Lytechinus pictus: one gene and its partner. The protein of the gene in region 1 binds, or shares a complex with, the protein of each later gene. Links are inferred from orthologs where the notes say so. Each region holds a gene or a part of one and is shown in the gene's direction. Other genes may lie near its edges. The genes, in order: PRELI domain-containing protein 1, mitochondrial-like; TP53-regulated inhibitor of apoptosis 1-like.

What was found.
Region 2: the proteins of PRELI domain-containing protein 1, mitochondrial-like (region 1) and TP53-regulated inhibitor of apoptosis 1-like are in contact, whole or in part, in a crystal structure (PDB 6I3V), measured with the Homo sapiens proteins. The link is inferred for Lytechinus pictus from reciprocal best matches to the Homo sapiens genes PRELID1 and TRIAP1. Residues at the interface, in NP_037369.1 of Homo sapiens: Trp15, Asp16, Phe19, Ala20, Trp23, Gln24, Tyr26, Pro27, Val34, Leu35, Thr36, Glu37, Asp38, Ile39, Val40, His41, Arg42, Val44, Gln48, Lys49, Leu50, Leu51, Ser52, Arg53, Leu55, Thr57, Tyr79, Leu81, Asp83, Ser84; in NP_057483.1 of Homo sapiens: Met1, Asn2, Ser3, Val4, Lys12, Tyr15, Asp16, Phe19, Asn20, Trp22, Phe23, Phe27, Leu28, Gly30, Asp31, Ser32, Phe41, Tyr44, Gln45, Val48, Gln49, Ile52, Ile57, Pro58, Ile59, Leu62, Glu63, Phe64, Met65, Gly66.

The regions. Positions count from the first base shown.
Region 1 is NC_087256.1:24,311,571-24,320,867, forward strand, and holds the start of PRELI domain-containing protein 1, mitochondrial-like, read left to right. Parts: upstream 1-5,230; 5' UTR 5,231-5,331; intron 5,332-8,475; 5' UTR 8,476-8,616; coding exon 8,617-8,705; intron 8,706-9,297. UniProt on the Homo sapiens protein: Involved in the modulation of the mitochondrial apoptotic pathway by ensuring the accumulation of cardiolipin (CL) in mitochondrial membranes.
Region 2 is NC_087246.1:5,001,303-5,010,524, forward strand, and holds the start of TP53-regulated inhibitor of apoptosis 1-like, read left to right. Parts: upstream 1-4,919; 5' UTR 4,920-5,010; intron 5,011-7,620; 5' UTR 7,621-7,632; coding exon 7,633-7,776; intron 7,777-9,222. UniProt on the Homo sapiens protein: Involved in the modulation of the mitochondrial apoptotic pathway by ensuring the accumulation of cardiolipin (CL) in mitochondrial membranes.

The DNA.
Region 1 (9,297 bases):
CACGAACCGTCCCTCTATTTGCATGAGTGAATTTAAACGCACTCCACCATCATTGTTTCCATGACATTATGCATCTACAGCGGTCTTTCATGACGGAACGGAATTGTTTGTCGCGATGCATTTGTATCGTAACATAATAAATTCAAATGTCAAATTAATATAACTATAATAACAATGATAAATTTAAAAAAAGGATACAACCATTCCCGCATACATTCGTAATTCCGAAGGTTCGTTATTCCGAAGGTTCGGATATTCCGAAGGTTCGTTATTCCGAAGGTTCGTAATTCCGAAGGTTCGTTAGTCCGAAAAAGAAATGAGGTTCGTAATTCCGAAGGTTCGTTAGTCCGAAAACGAAGTGAGGTTCGTAATTCCGAAGGTTCGTTAATCCGAAAACGAAATGAGGTTCGTAATTCCGAAGGTTCGTTGATCCTAAAACTAATGATTAACGAACCTTATTTCGTTTTCGGACTTACGAACCTTCGGAACAACGAACCTTATTTCGTTTTCGGATCAACGAACCTTCGGAACAACGAACCTTATTTCGTTTTCGGATTGACGAACCTTCGGAACATCGAACCTTATTTCGTTTTCGGATTATCGAACCTTCGGAATAACGCCACAAATGTTCGGATTAACGAACCCTTTTACGTTTTCGGATTAACGAACATCGAGGTATGGGCAATTTACGTGTTTCGGAATTACGAACCTTCGGAATTACGAAGTGTAAAAGGTATAAACAGTTAGTCCATAGAAAGGATCCAAATCAGAGTCCTACGTACTAATCCAAAATGGCGATGGTAAAGACTCCGTCAATTGTAGTCCACAATGCTGGCGATGATGAAAGTGATGTTGAATTGCGATGGGTGATCACAGTCACTGTACTGAGCTAAACTGTTACAGTACTAAAATGTATGCCTGAGGATTAAGTTGATGATAAACAGTTGATTTCAGCAACTCATTGGTTGATAAAAACGTTCTAAAGAGGTTGATGGTCATGTACTGTTAATTCCGGCCTCTCTTAAAAAATAGTTGCTAACAGTTAGGTTAAGAAATGAGAATAATTCCTCAGAAACTAAATAATACTTGATTCCACATGCATAAACATGATAACGGTAAACTATGCACGGAGATAAATTCTTGGCTCCTAAATTCTGAAATTCCAGAAGGATGTCTTAGCCTTTTTATATCAATTTCAAATTTTCTAGAAGCTTCTTCCAAATTCATCTAAAATAAGAGGAGGATTTGACAAAGGCCACTGCTAAAACAATCTCTCGAGTTATGAACAACCAAATGAATAAAATAATTCTCTTAAAATCCTTCTTTTGTGTCACACGAATTTTATAGAAGCTTTTAAATTTATCTAAAAGAACAACATTTTCTATTCTTCTTGACAAATCCACTGTTAAAACAATTTCTGGAGTTATGGACAACCAAAACTTTCTTACGACAGTTTGACACCTTGTGTCTAGATATACCTCAGTCACATTTCCCCTACGGCGGCCGTACGGCGAGTCGAAAACATTATTTTTTCAAACCACCTGTAAAATGTTAAAACGGCTGTTTTCGACTCGCCAAACGGCCGCCATGAGGAAATTGTGACTGCGCTATATAATTGTTAGCCAATATTCGGGGTGACGGTCCTTAATTGTGTGACTAGGCGCGTCTATAGGTCTAGTGGTTCTGACATTCGAATCCTAGCCATGGCGTGTTTTCCTTCAGCAAGAAATTTATCCACACTGCAGCTGCACTCGACCCAGATGAGGTGAATGGGTACCCGGCAGGATTAATTCCTTGCATGCACTGAGCACCGGTGATGGTAGCTCGAGCTAAAGCCGGGGTGCGGAATAAAGCACTTTGTATCCTCAGGCACAAAGCGCTATATAAATCCAGCTATTGTTATTATTATTATTTCTATCTCAATAGTATAGTATAATTTTCTAAATTATTCATTTCATATCTATGTCTTTTAAACTATTTCCTAAAAAATAAATGTCAATGTAAACCCCAATTGATTTGACATTGTAATCATTTGGCTTTATGTGTTGATATATTTACTCATTTATAAATATGAAGAATTGATATGAATGAAAGTATGTACGATGACAATGATTTTGGTGAAGAGTTTGCCTATTAGTTGAATGTTATTTGAATGTTAAACTCGCGTGTGGGGCATGTATCGAGATTTCCAGAAAAATAGGGGTCATACCCTAATGCGCCTAATTTATTGGGTTTTTTTTTTAAATCTATTTATTTCATTTTTTTTGGGAGGGACGAGTATGTGTGTCTCATCTGTGTTAATTGACACCAGTGGTCCAAAGGGCACGTACGTTTTATTGAATAAAACTCAATATTATATGTACATATATATGTAAATATATATATATATATATATATATATATATATATATATATATATATATATCAGAAATATATATACATCAGAAATGCGAAACAAATTCACGAGTAATGCAGTTTTTGAAGTGCCAACAATTAAGTTCTTTTATTCACTCTCCAAATTTTCGGTAGACATCTACCTTCTTCAGGGAAGATTCGTGAATTCTTCCCTGAAGAAGGTAGATGTCTACCGAAAATTTGGAGAGTGAATAAAAGAACTTAATTGTTGGCACTTCAAAAACTGCATTACTCGTGAATTTGTTTCGCATTTCTGATGTCTTATTATTATTATTGCCAATACGTGGAAAACCAAGATGCTTATATATATATATATAATTATATATACATACATATGTATACATTATATATATATATACGCCTGTAATCACCCCCATCAGTATAGGCATGGACCTGTAGTAGGTCCATGGTACAGGCGACTGAAGAACATGATCTCTAACTAATGAAGAAAAACCAAATCACAGTCTTCAAGGAATATGCAAACATAATTAGCCTAAAAAGATCTCAACAGATCTGCAGTTATATATTTTGATTACGAAATCAAAGTTTAGCAATTAAGGACGTTCCACAGTTATGTTTGTGCGCATTATGATCTGCGCATAGTTTACACTCTGCGCGCTGACGTCACAATGGATGAACAGGTGATTGATTAGCTGCGGGTATGAGCTGATTTTTCTCATATTCTGCACTTTAACTGCAGATCCGATGCGTTATTTCATGAAGCTAAAAATGGAATTATTCCATGGACCATTAAAAAAAAATTTCTACAATTTCAAAATACTTTACTCTGCATTGCTGCCAAGAATCAGGAATATTACCCCGAGTTTGAATAAATGGTAGAGTGGTTTTGATTTTTTCTTCACATAGATACAAAGCATTCGGCGCATTTTTGGTGTTTTAAAAAGCACATTTGCTCTAATAAAAATGCTAATAGTTTAAAAACAAGCACATGGACCCCTATTTTTTAAAGTTTGTACCTGTTAGGTATACCTTCCTCTACAACTCTGCAAATTTTGGTGAAAATGACATGGATTTTGAATAAAGTGCAGCATTTATTGTACGTTTGTAGTTTGTTACTAAAATTTTACATTTTTTAGATTGGGGTTTTGTTATAGTTTCCGCCTTTTTTTAAGAACTGCCAGCGCTGTTAAACTTAAAATTGAAAACAAATAGCACTTTAACTAGATTCTCCTTTCGAACGATACAATTATTAACTCTTTTGCGAAATTTGATGACTTTTTCATGTATTTTGACTGAGTAATAGAGGTTTAAACTCATTGTAGTAATCTTGGGCGGTCTAAAAATGCCAAATTCTTTTGAATGCGCAATTCTTAAGAACATCAATTTGGGTGAACTTTGAAGCTCTATAGCAAAAAATCAAGCACATGGACCTATGTTAATTTTTGCATATTTCGAATATTAAGGTTCTAAAGTATCTATGTGCAAAGTTTGGTGAAAATGACATGGATTTCACTTTAACTGTGGAACGTCCTTAAGCGAACTTTTGATAACACCCCCACCCGCAAAATATCAACAACAACAACAAAAGAGAACTGTAAAGATATCTGACGCCCATGTATTATCTCCTTTACTTTAGAGGGGGGAACTAGAGGTAGGATAGTCATGCACTGCGCCCTGGGCACAGATTTTTGTTTCAAGTTTTTTTTTTCTTTTTTTGTTAACATGACAAACGGGTTTCCCTATGTGAGCACGCGTAAAGCGTACTATATTATCCCGGGCACTTTCACAGGATAGGCCTACAAAAGGTTTCATAGGCGATTCAGACTGAATAAGGTCCCCCGGCCCCCCCCCCCCCCCCCCCCCACCCGTCAAGTTTCAAGCACACGTACTTTAAGCGTATTTCCCCGGGTATAGGCCCTACCTTAATCTGAGGATTCAAACGAGCCATTTATAGGGGGAGGGGGACATTGCTCCAGGAACAAGTTTCAGGGGGATAAAAAAAGTTTAGGCTGACAGACTACTATGTATAAGACACCGGCATATGGAAACCCCCATGCACCCTCCTCCCCCCCCCCCCCACCCCCATCTACAGCTAGTGACCACCTTCAAGGGCAACCTGAAAACATACCATGTATAAGAGTGTTTTTTGATAGATATTGACTTATTGTTCAGACATGTATTATATGTAAATAATTTTGTTGTTCTGCTCTGAAGCGCCTTGAGCATCTAATCAAGATGGAAAGTGCGCTATATAAATCTCATGTATTATTTATTATTATTACAATGCTGGATTCACCCCTATGCGTATAAGCCCACTCTGTATGCTGACAGTGATATACATGTAGATCGAGTGATTTCATCAACATGATGAAATATTTCCCAAAATCGGATAAATATCATATTGATATTTTACTTTATCAATAAATTTATGCAATGAGTATATGACGAGCTTTCTTCTTCTAGATCCGGCCTCTTAATCCTCCTTTTTTTTTTCTTTTTTTCCTCTTCATCTTCTCCTTCGTCTCTTTTCTTCGTCTCGATCCTTCGCTCTTCCTCTTTCTTCTTCTTCTTCTGAATTCTTCTTCTTCTCCTCCTCCTCCTCCTCCTCCTCCTCTTCCTCGATCATCCTCCTCCGTCTTCTTCTTCTTCTTAATTCTTCTTCTTCTTCTTAATTCTTCTTCTAATTCTTCTTCTTCTTCGATCTTCTTCTTCTTCTTCGATCTTCTTCGTCTTCTCCGATCATCTTCTTCTCCTTCTCTTCTTCCTCTTTTTGCAGACTATACAACTATTACTAAAAACCGTTTAAAAAAAATTAGTATCAATGCAAAAATAATCGTACGTGCAAAATTTAGCTACTTTTATGACGTCACTGGTTCCATGCAAGATTCGTCGCGTCGTCGCTCCCATCCCATTTTGTCTATTTAATGGAACAAAGTTGCCTTTTAGAAATGAGAAGTAAGTTTGCCGTAAGTTTCATTATTATATTTGAATAATCAAGTAGTCTGTTATTTGATGAAATATTTTCTATTCTGCTTTCCCTACATGATGATGATATTTTGGCACGTGAAGAGTGCAGTAATTGTTGTGTAGTCCCAGATGCTGAAATGTGAGTATGGTACTACCGGTACTTGTCTGTCGATGCTTCCTAATAATCCTATCCTCGCATGTTGTGTGAGTGGGCCTAGCCTAACGTCGTTAAGGCTAAGTAAAGGACTCCGTGATACATGTATTTCATCATATTTATATGTTATATAATTTATATATTGGCCATATAACCTTGTTCGTAGGATGAGTGGGTATAACATAATTTGTGCATGTGCATTGTCATTGATTGATTTTTAAAATGATCACAAAAGTAGAAAAGACCAATCTAACTCAATCAACAATTTCTCAGTTTTTTTTATGTGTGTGTGCATTGAAATTTGGGTCATGCGGGAACTGCTAAGGTATTCCACAATAATAATATAATCAAAATGTATGTAATTTTCACCAAGTTTTGCACAGAGTTACCATTGCATTGATTGGTTTTATAAAATAGGTGTATTACTATTATTTCAAATTCAAGCATCGCGATTGGCTAATACGCGTCACATAACATCCAACTTTTTGTGTGCAATGCACGGCAGTGCAAAAGGTGCGCAACGAAAATTGACATTGCACGCTCAAGCAGACCACTGCAGTACTGTACTGTGACTTTTTAAGGATTTGTTTCTGTGTTGCTATTTTATAAAACAAATAATGCACTTGCTCTGTCGTGCGTAATAAGTAAATGCAGAGAAAGCTCGGTTTCTTCAGATGGTGCACACTGGGCACTCGCCGCCAGCTGCTCGTGCACAGTGCGGCACCTATCTAAAGAAACCTTGCGTGCTCTGCATTTCCACTAACGCCCTCGGCTGCATGCATTATTTGTAAATTGTATAACGTTAGCATGCGCACCAGTCTTACTCTTAGGATACATGTATTTGCAAAAAATTGAAATGGGTTCATCTTGAGCTTGATTTTTTTGCTATCGAGCTTTTAACTCTACCCAATTGAAACGTCTCTATATTTTTATTGCGCATTCAAAAGAATTCGGCATTTTATCTATGTGAGGAAATGTTCTAAACCACTCCACCATTTATTCGAGGTCATATTCATCATACTTTGCAGCACTTGATATAAGAGTAAAGTGTTCAAAAATTATATTAAAAAACATTGTTCTGTAGATTATTTTCAGCTAATAATTAGCTACAAATCGGATCTGCAGTTAGATTGCAAAACATACAGTGAAAAATCAGCTGATACCTACATGTATAGCTGATTAGTCGTAATTGCATGTTCCTTTATTATGATGTCAAGTGTGCATAGCGAAGCATCTACATGTACTAGCGTACAATATGCGCACAAACACTATACAAGTTAATGCCAACTGCTTCTCGGGAATTGTGCGAAAAAGAGTTAATGTCAATTATGTTTCTGATGGATATCTTGATAGATATTTGAATTCATGAAACGAAAGGAAACTTTTAAAAGGTGATATGTAAAAACAAAAAAACAGGGGACAACATTTTTTAGTCAAAGCACTATGCTTCTCAGGCGACGATATATCAGAGTGTGACTTTAAAATTTCTTTGTTTTAAAGATAAAGGGGATGCAAATTACCATAAATGTTCTGTTTGCATGAAATTTGGCCCATTTTACTGTATAAAATCATGATAATTTGGTCAATTTGTAGTCCAAAACGATACTTGACATGTGTGTCACATTTTCAAATGGCAATCAACTCAAAACAAGTCAGGCATCAATTAATTTTTAACATGAGAATTTCCAGATGTTTCAAAATACTCTTCAGAAACTTTTATCAAAATCTGCCGAGTATCCTCTAAGGAAATTACAGACAAATATACAGTAATGTCAGGAATCTACAATAGTGTCGCGTCACGCGAATCACAACAAACAAATTGAAATATCTCCTACAAAAACACTGTAAATTCAAAATTTTTGTTGGACAATGTGTATTAATACTTTAATTGAAATGAATAGAAACAAGTTGATCTTGAGAAGTTGAAATTTTGTGTGAATGTCACGCGATTCACACTGGAATGGCTGTGTGACTCTTAGTTACTCCACATCCATTATGACTCTTATTCATCAGGGCTGTTAACATTAGAGGTTAGCGAAATGTAGAAGTAGATCACCACTTTTTGTTTGATACACTACTTTTCAATTGGTCACATGACACGTATGTCCCCCCTCAGACAGCAACATTCCATGTTCATGGAATATAAGGCAAAATCCCAGGGGGGGGGGCCACTTCCATTGACGGGTGTATACCACCTGTGACCAAAGAAACACCTAAAAAGGATCCCTTTTTCAAGATAAGGCATGTTACGTACATAACGTAATACATGTAAGGGTGTCAAAAATGCTTAAATATTAATGAAAAGTATATATTTCGCAAGGAAAGCTACGTGTTTACAGTCCAATTTGCGAGGGTATAAAAAGACTAAAATGCTTTTATAAAAGATGTACTTTTTGCACCAACACTACGTGTTAAGGGTCCTATTGGAGATGGGGTGTTCCCGGGGAAACTTGCACATAAGCTGTTTGTTTGTTTGCTTTTCTGATGTAATTGTAACTCAAATGTGCATGTACTAGAAAAAGGATTGCTGCTAATGCTGGGGCTGTTAAACTATAGCTGTACTTGTTTAGGGGGTCAAAGTAAGGGAATACTTGTCAAGGGTACCGTTTTGTTTCCAAAACCTGTTAAGGGTAGGGTTTCACATGCCAATACTTGTTAACCCTTTCCACGCGTACTTCGCACCAATGCACACTCGGTGCCGTGCGAACTTCACATTTCACACTCAACAAACAAAGCATTATTTCCCTCCCTGAAAATAATTCAGTACAGATGGGTTCATGGTCCAGCGCACAAAGAGTTAAGGGGTGCATTTTCAGAACATGGAAAATACGTGTTTAGGGTGCATTTTGAAACACCATGGTCATGTGTGGTATCCACTCGTCAGTGGAAATGTCCCCCTCCCCCCCCCCCCCCCCCCCCGGGGGATATACTGAGATGTAGTACATTGCTTTTTCATGATTCTTCTGATTCATCTATAGAATTGTGATGAAAAAAAAGTCCTCAAGGCTGAAGGGAATTCTGACGCATATGCTGTGGAGTGTGGACGCAACCAGCCTCTCCTCTGAACAACTTGTATTTTCAAGAAAGCCTGTGATCCTCCTTCACTCGGGTCCAGAGAAATGAAGCACTTCACTGCTGCTACTACCTTCAAACACTCATGGGACCAAGTCTCCTCAGCTTTCTGGCAAAAATACCCTGGACCATACAGGTAAATACATTGGCCTGTATTCTAAAATCAGGTCCAACTTAGGCCATGGTCTTAGTCTGGGCTAAACTTATGGAAAGCCACAAGTGCCAAGAATTTGTTTACACTGTAATGCTTCTTGTGTTTACTGGGGTCCTTATTGGTTTAATGGGGAAGGAAACTATTTCATTTATCATTTCAAGAATTTGTCAATGATTTGAATGCGTAATAATGTGATGATCACCTAATTCTAGAGATTGATACCACTTTGGGCTTTTCATAGTAAACCGCAACCAACTGGTTGAAGTTAAAGCAGAGTTCAGAATACGGGTCATTGATGATTACCACTAAGAGCAACCCTAACCTTTCAAAATTCAAAACATGGATAAACTTGAATAATTACCCATGCTGGCACCATGTGCTGATTGGTTTGCTCACCGATTGTTTTCAGATACAAAACAAATACATGAAGAAAATTAAATTCACAATTTATCTGGGGTCTTGGAGACATAACACTTGTATTGGTAAAGTAATAATTGGACAAATAGGTGGTACTGGTCAGCTGCTTATTCTGCAGCTAGATATAAAATTATATAACTGATGTTGATTTTTTTTC
Region 2 (9,222 bases), on another chromosome or scaffold:
TGATGTTGCCTTGACAATGCTTGAATGTAAAGATAGATATCAATATTTCAAATGGCCCGTTGCCATGGTAACAGCTTATTTTATTCAGAAAAGTATACATTTGATAAAAACATTATAGAATCTGATTTTCTTTCATTCTAGGGTGCTCAACATAATATGCTTGATAATGTAAAAATACCACCTCGGGCCATTTTCAATGTATAGGCCTATAATCATATCGACATAATTATGTACTCAAATACTGGACAATTTTTTAAGAAAAATGGTTCTTAGTGCTATTCTGCATGAAATCCAGTAATGTAACTCCAAAATGACCGCAGTCATTCTGAGTAAAGTGATTTGGGTGTTTTGTGCTAAAAAGAGTTCAACATAAAGGGGGATATACACTTAATAAATGAAAATTTAAAACTATATCAGGAGGTGATGTAGTCTTGACCTCCTAATCAGAGATTATTGCCATTGAGGTAAAAATAACTTAGAATTCTTTTATTAAATGAATGGGTTTTTCATGAAAGTCCCACATTGAGTCTAAAAATGAAAGAATTTTACCTAATTATCCTCAAAAGGTCAATTATATCTAATAGGAGGGCAGGATTACGTCCATTCGCCAAATGAACTTTGGCGTTATATTATCTTGAACAGCTTTCTAAAAAAAAAAAAATACATGCATTTTAACATTTATAGCACTTCTTCATAAAATCGGACTCTATTTTTTTTTCAATTTATTCTGTTCTTGTCTAAAATGAGCCGTAACCAACCATGGCACCGGGCCATTTGCAACATTTATATTTATAAATACATTGTACAATGAAGCGTTGCCAAGGGAACATCAAATTGCATCTTTCTGATGAATCCATGCAGAATACTTACCGTAAGTTTTGACGCATGTAGATTAGGTCGTTTTTACATCACAGAATTAACTTTTTCTACATGTTATATTTTTACCAAATAAGTTGGTATTTGGTTGCCATGGCAATGGTCTGAGATGGTACTTACACATTTACCAACAATCAACCTAAGCTTATCAGAAATGAAAGGGAAAAATGCGACTTTACATGCCTTTATCATTTTACCTCAATGGTTCAAAGTAGAGCAACAAGACTATTTCCAGGATTTAGATAGAATCTTATAGTGTTAAACTGAATCTGTACTCCTTACCGCATAGAACGAGGGGACGTAGTCCAGGATAGGCCCCATAGACAAGGGGTCGAACCTTGTTTTTTTAGATATACAATGTTTTTTGATGGTTTCTTGTCAATTCGAGGGTGCTGATTCCGAATCTGAATGATGCCACTCTTGTAACCTTGAGCATTTTCCGCAAATTGGCAAAATCCAATATGGCCGCCAAAATATGCAAATTACCCATGAAAATCATAAAATTGCCAACACATTAGCTATAAAATGCATGTAGTTGTTGTGCAGAAGTGAAATACCAATTGGAAAAGCGATATTTGACAAAATATTTATTTTATTGATATTCAAAATGGCCGCCATAACCCCTGTATACTTTATTACTTTAGCTCGAGCTAAAGCCGGGGTAATAATAGCAGCGCTTTGTATCCTCTGGCAAAAAGCGCTTAATAAATCCAACTATTATTATTATTATTATTATGTAGAATATGAATGGGGAAAATATTTTTTCAAACAAGAACACTATTATTGCATGTGATTGTGACCTGCGAGTGGACTACTGTCTGAAAACATGACTATTAACAAAACTATGTCATTTGTATACTATCTAATGTGATAAATGCTGTATTATGATATTCAAAATGGCTGTCATTATAGACCCCTTATACTGTGTACAATATATAAAAGGGGACAAATAATTTTCACAACCTTTGAATTTGTTTGACTTTAAAATGCCAATAACTGCGAAATATTGGTGTAACACTGTCTGACAACAAGGATTTCTAACGAAACATATCATTTCCCTTGCAATTTCGGTAATTATGCTGCATGTTGACATTCAAAATGGCTGCCATAGGCCCTATCTGTATTATGAACAAAGCGAATAAAGAAACTAATTTTTACAAGAGTAAAAACAATAAAATGAATGTAATTGTAATCTATACGAGTGAAATATTGTCTAAACACATGATTTCTGGCGAAACATATCATTTAATTTTTCATGCATGAGATAAATGCTGTATTGTAAAATTCAAAATGGCCCCTATGGGCCCTTACAGTATTATCTACAATGTAAATGGGGACAAATACTTTTGAAAGAATTAGGATTTGCCTGACTATGAAATCCATATAATTCTGTTGTATAAGGAAAATATTGTTTGAAAACGTGATTTTTTTAATGAAATATAACATTTCCTCTCCCATAGGTGATAAATACTGTATTTTGACTTTCAAAACGGCCGCACAAGCCCCTACAAATTCTGTAACATGCGTATAGGGAAACTAATCATCACCAGAATGAGAACCAAAAACGCACGTAACTATGTGATGTATAGGTAAAATTTGGTCTTGAACATGATTTCTGACTAAATACATCACATAATGATTGAGAAGGTAATAAAGGCCTTACTTTGAAATTCAAAATTGCTGCCATAGCCCAAAGTAGTATGTACATTGTAACTGGGGACAGATAATTTTGACAAATTTTTTACTATGAAAATGGCTTAATTTTGATGTAAGTGTTAAGTATTGTCTAAACCCAATGATTTCTAACGAAATATATCATAGCTTGTGTCATAAAGGTGATGAATGCAGCCTTTTAAAAATGAAAAATGGCCGCCATAGTCCCTTATCTTAATATGTAAAATTTGAATGGGGAAAGATAATTTCCACAAAGAAACATATTGCAGCCATTTTGAAATTTAAATATAGCATTTATCACCTAAATAACATAAGAAATGATCTATTTGGTTACAAAATCATATTTTCAGACGATATTTCACTCATACATGCAACACCATTTAGTCAAGCAAAGCCAAATTCTGTTAAAATTATATGTTCCCATTCACAAAGTACATAATAGGCCTACTGTTATGGCCTGTAGCGGTCATTTTGACTTTCAAAATACATTATTTATCACCTACCTGGCAGAATGAATGATATATCTTGTTAGGAATTATGTTTTCAGACAATATTTTACTCTTAAATCACAATTATATGCATGTTATGGTGCTGACTCATGTGAAAATTGGTTTCCCAGATCGATTGTACATAATACAGTCAATGTCTTTTGGCGGCCATTTTGAAAGTCAAAATACAATATTTAACACAAATATGAAACCCGAATAATATATTTCGTTGCAAATTATATTTGAAGACAGTATTCCACTAATTTACCACAAAAAATACGTTTTAGTGCTCACCTTGTGATTGTTTTTGTCCTCTCTCACATCGTAGATCATAATTTTAGGGCCTTTGGCGGTCATATTAAATATCAAAATACAGGGTTTATCACATACATGGCATGTTAAATAATAAATTTCGTTAACAAAAATGTTTTTAGTCAGTATTCCACTCGTTTATCTCAACAAAATGCATTTTAGTGCTCACTCTTGTGATTTTTTTGTGTCACCATTCACATTGTACATAATAGTGTTAGGGCTTTTGAAGGCCATTTTGAATATCAAAATACAGGATTTATCACATAACTGACATAACAAATGATATATATCGTTAGCAATCATGTTTACAGACATTGCTTCACTCATAGATCATAATTACTTGCATTTCAGTGCTCAATTTTGTAAAAATTAATTTTCCCCATTCATATTGTACAGGGGTCTATGATGGCGGCCATTTTGATATCAAGAAAATAAATATTTTGACAAAAATCATTTTTTCAGATATTATTTCACTCTGGCAGCACAATTGCATGTACTTTAAAGCCAATGTGTGGACAATTTTATGATTTTCATGGGTAATTTGAATATTTTGGCGGCCATATTGGATTTTGCCAATTTGCAGAAAATGCTCAAGGTTACACGAGTGGCATCATTCAGATTCGGAATCAGCACCCTCGAATTGACAAGAAACCATAAAAAAACATTGTATATATAAAAAAACAAGGTTCGACCCCTTCTATCCTGGACTAACGTGATAGAAGTATTTAAATATTGTATGGTAGAGTCGATTCAGAATCCCTCTTCAAGAGATCCCAATACCAGGGAACAAGAGGTCATCCCTTCAAACTGTTCACTACTCACTGTCGGTTGAACACCCGCAGCATTTTTTTGTCAGTAAAAGAGTGGTCCAATCTTGGAATAGTTTGCCTGCAACACTAGTAATGTCCTCCAGCATCGACTCATTTAAACACGTATACCCAGTTGTTGTGTGTCCGGACAGGTTGTGTGTCCGGACGATCAATTTTAGAAAGTCATTTGGAAAAAATTACAAGCGAAGTTTCATCAAATTTTAGTAAAAAATTTTAGAAAATATTATAGAGAACAAAATAGAAGATGATTACAACTATTGAATTCATATTTTTAGTGTAATCTTATGACAAAAAAGAAGGCTTCAAAAATATAAAGTGTCCGGACACCCGATCCCCCATCCTACGGACGGATTAGATTGTCTGACATCCACCCCGCACTGTACTTGTTAGACTTTAATTATACATCAAGTGTACGTGTTTACGACCGGGAGATAGATCTACAGGCCCGCTCTACAGGACTACCTACACTCCCGTACAGATGATGATGATGATGATAGACTCATTGGACTCTTTTAAATCCAAAATTACTCAAAAACCTAGTAAGTAAGTGACCTGCTAACTTGGTGATCTCACACTCATCATCAATAAAGTTGGCGGAGTACAGCAAGTCTGCATATGCCATAGAGATGTATACTAATTATATGGCATATGCCCAGACAAGACAAGATGATCTGCTTTCATTTATCAATTCAAATTTATTTGTAATTTGATTCGTTGATTGTACCATACTCCGGTAAGGACTTTCGGTAGCTATCAAGGGAGAAATCGTCGAATTCTGAGACTGCGGAGGCTCATGTGTAACATCAAACCTCCTGAAATCGTAGCCATAGGTAAGTCATACAAAAATCGACATCTTTTTAAATAATTTGCCAGAGGTTACTAAGCCATGGCCCATGGCATGCATGGCCAGCTTGATCACGTTTACACACTACAGTCCCATTCGCTTAATATTGTGTTTCTGTTCTTTGTTCTCCCACTCCCAGCCAGGCAGTGACCGATGACCAGGCATAGTTAGTATGGTAGTACGGTACTAGTAGATCGTATTACCGTCACCGAACACTTTTCATGAATTTAATCATATCAAACACATTATTCTCATAAAATTCACCAAACTTTCTACATAAATACACAATTACCTACAAGATATAAATATGTAAAAATTTTGCCGAAATTGTTTAGGCCTATCCCTTTTACGATATTACTTAGCTTCCAATCGGACCCCTCTTCGGATGTGAAATATTTTGGTCACTTGAAAAAGGTATCGTATTACCGAACGTGTGTTTTCTATGGGAAAAGTTGAGAAAACAACAAAATCACCGATGAGCCATTTTGACCATATTTTTTTATTATTTTTAGAATATTAAGACTTTGAAAATGTGTTTTTGACCATTTTTCATCATCTTTTTATTCAATTATTGAACTTTGAAGTTCCCCTTGGAAGGATGTTGCAAAGTTTTAGTCTCATGAAATTATTTTCTGACGCGTACGATGCGCGCGTTCGGTAATACAATGCCGGTCGGTAATACAATCACTCACTATACACGTAGCCAGGCGGCTTCTTGAGAGTAAAAATCATTTACTAACGTATGCTTACTCTCAATGAAGCCAGGGATTCCTTCCTATTCATCTGCGTGTACCGCCAAAAAACCTGATACTTTCGCCCCTGAGATTTCTACTTTCCTTCTAAAACATCTAGCCATAACTTTAAGCCAGGCATAAATCATGCCCTGTACATCACTTAGGCCTACATGAGATAAAACTTCATTTCCGACATTTCTACGCTCTCGGTTTTATTTTTAAACAAGAATTCATTAAAAAAATGAGAAAAATATTGTGAAAAGACGGAAGAGACTTGCCCGATGTTTACGCCGCCATCTTGTTTCCTATTGTACTTCCCCAACGTTACGGACACGTGCGTCGCTAAAAATGAGCTTGCGCTAGTGATGTTTTTTATTTGATCGAATGGAGTAGAGTGCGGTCACGATGTTTGGATTGTCATGATTATAGCTAAGTGGGGTTGAGATCGTGTTTTGTGGCTAGAAAGTATTTGTATTTTGTTGAGATTTTGGAGTAACTGTTCCCTGCAGTTTGAGGAAAAATATGTTTTCCTTGATTTTCCGTTTGAAAAGCCACTTTCTAAAGGCCGTTTCTGTGAATTCCATGAAATCGCGGAAAATCACTGTGTCCCTACATAATAGCGGGAATAAGCGGGTATTATCGACAACGAGAGAAAGGTTATTGATATCGCTAAGTGGCAAAAAACAAGCGATTATCGACAGGACTAGCGATAAAGACGTTATCGATAACAGGATTAACAGCCCTATTGAAAACTACATTTAGTGTTTAAAGGGGAATTCCACCCAGACAAAAAGTTGATTTGAATAAAAAGAGAAAATATTCAAATGAACACTGAAAATTCAATTAAAATTGGATGTGAAATAATTTTTTTTAATTTAAGTTTTGCTTATTCCCAAAACAGTTATCTGCACAACTCATTGATTTGAAAATGAGAGAATAACATTTATTATTTCTTTTTTTATTTGTTGTTTGAAGTATGAAATATTATTATCTCATGATTATCAAGTTTTATTTCTTTCCAAACAATCATGAAGAGGGTCCTTATTGTCAAACCTGTAAAAATTGAAATATATAAGTTAGACAATAAAAAAAACACTTGTGTGACATAATCAGTCCTCTCTTTTGCCTATCACTGAGTTGTGCATACAATTATATAACTCTTTTTTGTGAAAAAAATAAGTGAAACTTGAAATGTCATAACTTTCTTAATTCACATCTGATTTGATGGAATTGTCAGCATTGTGCTCTATTGATTGGAATCAATATTTTCTGAGGTGGACTTGTCATTTGATTTTGTTATAATTTCAGAATATTTGTAGCCACCCTATAGTTTCCTTATATATCAAATCATTAAATTTGAAAGTTACAGTGTTTAAAGTTTTCTTTTGAAAGAAAAATAAATGTAGTACTGAGAGAGGGTGCTAAAAGATCAACTGCTGAAGTGAAAAATAGGTCCCAGTGGACCCTATGCTATTTTGTAATGTTGGAATGTTAAATGTTACTTGAGTATCATACTGGGCCTTACCAAAGATTTAGATGGCCTTTGATATACATGTTTTAATGTCTTTTACTTTGAAGCACTTGACCCGAAACAAAAACATCTCTAAAGAATAGTGAGATGAAAAAATAATTTATTCAAGGCCCTCGCCCACTGGGGTTCTGATATCTGGCCAACATAGCACCACACATTGTGCATTTAATGGGTCTAGACAGTGGTGACAATGTCTATTATGATGTCACAATTTGAATAGTATTTTCTTTGACCATACAGCCATTTTCTTTGGGGGGGGGAGGGGGTGACCAACCAAGGCATAAAATAATGCTATGTAATGTACACTGTATATATTGTTTATCTCCTTCAGACAATCTAAAAAATGAATAGCCTGAGTCCTGACTGTACAGAATTAAAACATGCATATGATGCATGCTTCAACAATTGGTTCAGTGAAAAGTTCCTGAAAGGAGACTCAAAAGATGCATGTGGGGATCTTTTCAGGAAATATCAGGAGTGTGTCAAGGTCGGTATAGTGTACATTTAATTAAAATCAATGTTATTTCTTTGATGACATTTCTGGATATCAGTATTTATTTATTTACTCTTTGTTGTTGTGTCATTAATAGTAATACAGCCTTAATTTTCAATATTTGTATGGCACAGTGAATTTTCAGATGGGAAAATTTACAAGCAGTGTTATTTTGTGTAGAAGATGTAATATTCTAGTCTTTCTACTTCTATGATTTACTTACTTTTGCATCTAGTGGCATCCCTGCCCCTTAATTTGTTGCAAAAATAATCACCTACAATATCGTTATAATTATGTTTGTTATAGGTCTACTGATCGACAATCAGCTCATATTATTGTAGAGAATTCTCCAAGCAATTTGTGGTTAACTTACTGGCCCGTATTCTGAAGTCAGGTTAACTCTGTGCCAAAAGTGTCAAATTTTTTATTAAGTTGTATATTTCTTATGTTTACTGTGCTCTTTCCTGATTCATCGATGGTGAAGACAATCATCTTTTTATACTTCCTAGACAATTATGAATGACTTGAGAGGCAAAAGAGCTGAAATATGATATCTCTACTGTTAGTAATTTATGTAACAATTGGCTATCCATACTTAAACCACAACTTTAAACCTGGCAGTCAGTCCGCAAGCCCCTGTGTTAATGAGCAAATGAGCAAGATTTATCCAAGTCCTCTCGTGGCTGAATTCATGTCCCTGCAAAATCTCGTGAATCGTGAGACTTTCTTTCTCAAAGAATTTAACCACTTTCTCCTTGAGTAATATTGATTATTTTTGTACCATGGGCAAGAGTAAATGTTACTCTTTTATATTGGTCATTTCTTTTGAATTAGATATTTTGATAAATAAGTGAATTTTTTACCTGAAAAGATGCATCAAACAGAATTTTCTTCCTCTGTTTTCACTTGCAAATTGTGCAACATTTTGTGTTTTAGGCACCAACATTATTTATATCATCAGAAAGCTCGAACTCTATACTTTCTTACAATGTCACTCTTGATATGTGGCATCTTTTAGATGGGTCAGCAGCCAGCTTTTTCCATCAAGATGCAAGACGAGATTTCTGAAATTTCTGAGTAACATAAAATCCAGAGTTCTGATTGGCTGAATACTGTTTTCAAAACAAACAGTCACGGGTAATTTGAAGAGATTACCACATGGTGAGTGTGGCCTTGCAGAGGCCCAGTGTGGGGAACATTGGAATTTGCGTGGGTGTGTGGTCTCTATGACCAATCAGAGCGCAGTATTGTTTTTGAGCTGTAAAATGTACTTGGCCTATGAAAAGCTGGCTGCTGACCCATCTAAAATACATCTTCTTATAAAAATTATATCATATTAAAGCTTAGATCTTCAGCTTTATCATGATCTAAAAATCATTTGTGCCCAAACAGAAATTAAGTGTGAAAACAACAACTTTTGTTGCATGAAAAAAATTATTT